Schizosaccharomyces pombe: one gene and its partner. The protein of the gene in region 1 interacts with the protein of each later gene in a pairwise test. Each region holds a gene or a part of one and is shown on either strand. Other genes may lie near its edges. The genes, in order: rpl39 and nap2.

Region 1 (3,215 bases):
CATACCTTTTCGAGTTGTCTAATTAATATCGTTATTAAAAGACATGAATTATTGCAATTTTGTTTATCTCCTTTTTCATTGAGCGAAGAAAAAAAAAAGAAAGACCCTCCAATTATCATTTAAAACTTATTGCGTCTCGCTCAACCTTCATTGCAAGTGGGTAGGTGGGCTTTGAACACCTTCACGCTTTATTCTCTTGTTTCTGACCCTTTGATGTTCCCATCGATTTCCTTGGACATCATTCTGCCAAATGTGTTGCCATTTCATCTTTTTCTATTCTATTTTCTATTTTTTAAGCTCAACGTCACTGGCACTGAACTTTAGCACAGCTAGCTCGTTTTTGACTAATCTATACTCAATTGAAGTTCTGCATGACTACCATTAAATTTTTGTTTTATTTTTTTTACTTCTGGTCAAGTTTTAAATTTGTAAATATTTTCCTTACACAAGTAGACTTAAGATGTGTTGAAAGCTTCTTGATACCCTATGTACTAAAAAAACCCTGTAGCGTAAAACAATGCAGGAGGACAAATCATCCTGCAGTCATTTTATTTGTTACAAAGTATTTTAATAAAATAACTTACAAACTTTGTCGAAATTGAAATGAGTATAAATTTTTCAAGCTCTTTAAATAAAAACAAAAACTCATCTATCCCGACAATTACAAGTCAAAAGTTTTTCCTACCAGGTCAGGCCGCGCCGCCACCAACTACTAGAAAATTAAAGTACACTTAAAATCGTTTTATTTACAGATCATTCAACTCTACTATATTACACGACAATCCTTACGACTTGCATGGAACTGTTTACATAGTTATTGAAGACAACAGATACATTGCGTTTATATAGAAATTTTTCGCTCAAACAGAATGGATCCATTTTCTATTTTTGCACACGTAAAACGTAGGATACGCATAAAGCAATCCATAACTTCATGTACACGAACGCTATCTCAGTTAGAAAACAGTTACTCCACAAGCAAAGGCGTCGGTTGATTTTGTCGACATACCATTTTAGATGTTCAACTTGGTACGTCTCCAGTGTCTTCTCTTCATGTTATAATGAACAGTGTTTCCGGTGCGAAGACGAATCCATTGAGGAATGGGGCGGTTTTGACGCGCAGCCTTGGCAAGCTTTTGCTTGGTACGGAAACTCTTGTGAGAAGGCATTTTGTGGAAGACAGAGTGTTGCATCCACGCAACTAAAGCGAATGTGACTGCTCTTTTTTCACAACTGTGACTGTCTTTTGAAGGTTTTTGTAGGATTTAAGGAATAATTTCAACATACTATGGTACATATTGCTAGTAACCGTTAAAACTGTTTTGTGAAATATGCCGTCAGAGCGTTATTTAAACTAGAATTGAGATACTGAAGAAATAATTAAATATATTTCAGTTAGTCCAAAAGCTTGTTGTTAGAAAAAGGCAGACGCATTCAAGAAAGTAGTGTTAGTAAGTAATATTTGGTTCAATCATATCAAAGTAAACTTGCTATTAATTTTACATTTGGGCTAGAAGCTCATATTTTAAGCATTGAGGTACAAAGAAGTTCCCAAGTCAAAAAACTTCTATTTTGTTACTACTATTTACAATTTGAAAAACTACGAAATCCGTACTTATGAGGGTCAATAAAAAAACAAAAAACGAATCCATTATTCATTATGAATCAAAGTTAATGGTAAGAGTAAAATGCCATCGTACCGATTACGATAAAATAGACAATTATTTGCACGTTAGCAAATTAAATTAATCAGTTGACCAAACAACATTAAATAGCACAGACATTAAAATTCCTTACATTGCTAGTAAGGCCATAATGCCTAAAAAGTAACCTTGTTATTCAATCCTTGAAATTGACAAGTTTTTGGAATAAAACACAAACCTGACTATGGATGAAGACATATCTAGAAGACAAACGACAAACATCCATTTTCAAAATAAGGAAATATTAAGTAATTTAATAGCATTGGTCATGCTTCATCGCATAATAGTATACATGACCTAAATAAAGGAAATTCGGAAATAACTTAACGATATATGAGGGAGTTAATCTAAACAATGGAAACCCTTTTACTGATCAGAAAGACAAAAAAAGGGCTCTTGTCGGGTATCACCCTTTTCAAATAAATTATGCTTTGTTCAATCCCTGTTCAACCACAAGTTCATAGTAACGACCGCGCTGTTTAACAAGCTCGGCATGAGTACCAGCTTCAGCGATAACACCACCATCAAATACGAAAATACAGTCTGCATCTTGGATAGAAGACAAACGATGAGCAATTGCTACCGTGGTTCTACCTTGAGAGGCGGCATTTAAAGCTTCTTGAACGACCTTTTCGCTATGACTGTCTAAAGCACTGGTTGCTTCATCTAAAAGGAGAATCTTTGGATTTCTAATTAATGCTCTAGCAATGGCAATACGCTGTTTTTGACCACCAGATAAGGAAGAGCCCTTTTGACCGCAAAGTGTGTTATAACCGTTGGGCAATCCAAGAATAAACTCATGAATATTGGCCTTCTTGCAAGCTTCAATCATCTCTTCTTCAGAGACATCTTTAGATGCGCCCAAAACAATGTTCTCACGAACAGTACCTTGGTACAACGTTGGCTCTTGAGAGACAAGGGCAATTTGTTTGCGGTAGTCGTTAATGTTATAGTCACGAACATTAACACCGTCCACCAATACAGCTCCATTGTCGCAATCGTAGAAACGCTCGATAAGCCCAATGGTCGTAGATTTACCACAGCCAGAAGATCCTACGAATGCGACAAACTGCCCGGGCTTCACAGTGAGGTTCAAACCACGAAGAACTTTAATATGCCTTCTGGTAGGGTAACTAAATTCAACTTGCCTGAATTCAATTGCTGCACTTTGAAGGGATTCAACTTTCTTTCCTTCCGTCGACCATGTATCAATTTTAGGTTTTGATTCGGACAAATACTTAATTTCACCGGCAGCAGCCTTTGCTTTTGTTACATCTGCTGAGTAACCAAAGAATTGACCAGCTTGTTGTATACCAAAGACAATTGCAATAAAACAAGTATAAAACTGAACGATGTTATATTCGCCCTTGCGCATTAAGGTAGAACCATACCAAAATGTCAATGCGTTAATCAAAAAGGTAACACCTTGAGCAGCAGAAAAGAATAAACCAGATTTCAATGATGCGATTGCCGACTCACGGCCAGGTTTGATGAGAGAATCACAATACTCAG
Region 2 (3,926 bases), on another chromosome or scaffold:
AAAGCTAACTTAATGACATTAGTAGCATCGCAGTGTTATTATTTGCAGCTCATAACTTCTCATTAGTAAGGTAAACATATGTAGCAAAAGATGGGTTCCTGCTGTTTGAAAAGCAATTGTTTTAGGTCTCAGCAACAAATTAGAGGTATTCAATATAATTCTTTTGAAAGATTGGTGAAGAGAATGAATAGACATCTCTACTTGTGTTCATATAATAATTACGTTTTGACAATCGAAGTAACTAAACTTAGAGTTACAAGAGGTAGTGATTTATTGTCAGAACCGTTATTAGTTGTAGTTCTTCCAACCTAGTACTAGTTCTTATACCTTATCATATAAACTCGGTGTGAGCTAACAATGCACTTAAAGATTGTTAATTAATGTACGAACAGATCTAGCTTTGACGTATAAAATAAATAGAAAAAGCTATTGCAGATAGTTATAGTAATAGCCGCTTACTTTTTGCTGGCTGTCCGCATTATCATTTTAGAAAAGCAAATGCTAATAAATAACACCACAGCTTCAAATAATGCGCGTACTAACCTAATACTAGCTATTAAAAAAGGAACCATGTAAGTAGAATATACTCACAGAATGATAAAAAATTACTTAGTATATTTTTTATACCTGCATTGGAAAAAAAAATTCAAAATTTAAAAAGACAAGAAAACAAATTGAAATTTTAAAGACAAATCCTAACTTAGATCCGCTTATTAAATATTTTATAGGATACTACGACGTAAATCAACATTTTAATTTTTTAAGCCACAATAAACTTACCAAACTATAAGCGAAATTATCATTCAGCGTCAATTTCTCATTTTTGCTCACATTGAACTTACTCATAATCTAACGAACACAATATAAATATCAATCACTAATTTCGCTACTCAAAATTTCTTCGTCATCTGAAGACAGATCCTCCTCATCAGTATATGCGTCTTCAGAGTCTTCTTCATCCATTTGGTTAAAATCGCTCAAGTCACCTTCTTCTAAGAAACAGTCAATTGCCAAGGGTATGATTTGATCTTTAAAGACTTCTCCCAATTGATAGTCGAGTTCTAAAAGCTCTGTTTTGTCATCCAAACCATCATCAGATTCATCATCGTCCAACTGAGGAGGTGAGAAAAAGTTGAAAAAACTGTCATTAGGGACCGTAGTACGGACCAATCTAGTTTGATTTGTTTTACGGTTACGTTGTTTTTTTGTCTCCACTCTAACCGTTAAATTTTTTTCAGGCTTGATCCAATTAATCTTATCACCCTCAGCATGATCATACAAAAACTCACCCGAAGGACTTAAATCATCTTTATAGTAATAAGTTTTCGTTAAAATCTTGTTTGTAAAGTAATCATTTGAGTCAAATTCGAATTCTAGTTTGTAACCATGAACATCTCCCGAAAGGTTGGTAAAACGAATGTCGCTGAGTGATCGCAAGACATTTTCATCTTCTGGTGTTATCATTTCGCCAACCAAGAAAACATTATGAAGACAAGTCAGCCAAAATTCGGGAATTCCCTTAGGATCTGGAAGATTATTTTGAAATATTTCTTCCTCGTGATCTAATTCGTCGTCCACTGGTTCAGAAACACCCTTGATAATTTCGGCTCTTCTAGAGAAAATAGGTTGATATTTTTTCTCGTATTTTGTTTCCAGATCTAACATTTTTTGACGAAATTCATATTGAATTGCATCACAATCTTTTTGAAGGCCTTTCAATGCTGTAATACGATTTTGGACTGCTGGCGCAAGGCTCTCTATATATCCCGACGACTTTCCAACCAACGAGCTAAGGCGTCCCTCAATCATTGATAACATGGCCGGATTGTTGCGCAATAACCCGCTAACTTCATCATGTGCTGATTTGTCCTCCAGTTGTGATTGCAAGGTTTGTCTAGCTTTTTCTAATGCGGCCTTACTAAGATGTACATCTGAAGATGGAGTATTTTGTGGCGTTTGAGCAGCAAACCCATTCCAAGACTTCTTAAAATCTCCTGGACCTTTAGACATATTTTAATAATGCAAACGGAGATTAAATTAAATTGGTAAAGCTTCGTTGTTGGACTGTGGATCTTCGTGAAGTCTACCAAAGAGATGTTGGGCCTGACTCGTTATTGCAGCTTAGCATATTTTAATGATATGTTTACAGCATTTTTCGTATGAGAGTCTTTAATGAAATATATTTATGTGTTTAGCGGCTATCATAGTTTGGGATAGTATTTGGGGTTTTATTTGGAAGAATATGTAAAATTAGAAAGCATCCGGAAGTTTACATATACGTTGACTTTTTTCTCTCCGCTTTCCTTATACTTTCTCTGACAAAGGTAATGGATTGTATAAACCAAAGGCGCTGCTTTCAAATTCTGATGTAGCTGTCCAAATAGCTAAAAAAAAAATCAATGAAATAAACAAATGTATATATCTCGTTTAAGCAAAGTGTCTACGCTATTCATATTAGTTTAACATATGTATCGTATCCCAATTATTAGTTGAAAATTCTATAAAAAATATATATATATGGATACTGATTAATAAACAACTCTACGTATCATATACTTCTATATTCATGAGTTAAACAACCTTATTGTAGCATTTGTTTACTAGTTAGTTGCCCACGGAGGAGCGAAAAACTATCGGAACATAATTCAAAAGTCAAACTTGTAAATAAAAATCTGCTATTGTAACGGTCATTGCTAACTTAAATAAACAAATCATAATTAATATATATAAATTTATTAGCGATCGTTCTGTAAATAAATAGAAAATGAGAATGAATAATCCAACAGAAAAATATATATATATATAGTAAATTAAAGAATAAAGAATAAACTAATACACTGTATTGAGTACTAATGGACTTGGAAACGAGGTAAATGTTTCACTCACAACACTTTCAAACAAATGAAATATTTTCTTACATTAAATTTTAGGTTCAAATAAACCAAACTGTTTTGCTTTTTAGATTTTTCATTCACATTTTATGATAAACAATGCGATGATACCAAATAATGTTACTTGTGTATGGTGTTTGTTTGCTACCTTGACAATTATTCTCTGATGCAACGTTTTTTCAAAGAGGTTTTCATTACTATACATTTACCCACTACGCCAAATTTGCTTTGAAAATGAATTTGACATTCAAAAATCTACAGCAGCAGAAATTTGTTATTTCTGATGTTTCTGCAGATACCAAAGTATGATAATTGTGGCATATTATTTTTCTAACGTAAACAGATTTCAGAATTAAAAGAAAAAATTCAAACGCAACAGAATTATGAAGTCGAACGTCAAAAGTTAATTTACTCAGGTATATAACATAATTTTAATATGTAAAATACTAATTTATAGGTCGAATCCTTGCTGATGACAAAACTGTTGGCGAATACAATATAAAAGAACAGGATTTCATTGTATGCATGGTTTCACGACCCAAAACTTCCACCTCTACTCCGAAATCAGCTGCCAGTCCTGCCCCCAATCCTCCGGCTTCCGTACCTGAAAAGAAAGTTGAAGCTCCTTCTTCTACCGTGGCGGAATCTACCTCTACTACACAAACTGTTGCTGCTGCTGCCCCTTCAAACCCAGATACTACTGCCACTAGTGAAGCACCAATAGACGCCAACACATTGGCAGTTGGTGCTCAACGAAATGTTGCTGTCGAAAATATGGTAGAAATGGGATACGAACGCAGCGAAGTTGAAAGAGCCATGCGTGCCGCTTTTAACAACCCTGATCGGGCAGTGGAATACTTATTAACTGGTATTCCCGAAGACATTCTCAATCGACAGAGAGAAGAGAGTGCTGCAGCCCTTGCTGCTCAGCAACAGCAAAGCGAAGCCCTTGCTCCTACTTCCACTGGCCAGCCAGCGAATCTTTTTGAACAAGCTGCTTTATCAGAAAATGAAAATCAAGAACAACCTTCTAAT

What was found.
Region 2: the proteins of rpl39 (region 1) and nap2 interact in a two-hybrid assay, tested with the Schizosaccharomyces pombe proteins (2 studies listed by BioGRID, with this or other methods).

What each region holds. Positions count from the first base shown.
Region 1 is NC_003421.2:1,638,975-1,642,189, reverse strand, and holds rpl39 (60S ribosomal protein L39), read right to left. Parts: upstream 1,175-3,215; 5' UTR 1,170-1,174; coding exon 1,014-1,169; 3' UTR 1,010-1,013; exon of another isoform or gene 948-1,009; 3' UTR 795-947; downstream 1-794. Other genes in the region: leptomycin transmembrane transporter Pmd1, read right to left, coding at 2,128-3,215.
Region 2 is NC_003423.3:2,983,839-2,987,764, forward strand, and holds nap2 (nucleosome assembly protein Nap2), read right to left. Parts: upstream 2,062-3,926; 5' UTR 2,011-2,061; coding exon 871-2,010; 3' UTR 669-870; downstream 1-668. Other genes in the region: UV excision repair protein rhp23, read left to right, coding at 3,126-3,194, 3,235-3,307, 3,349-3,926.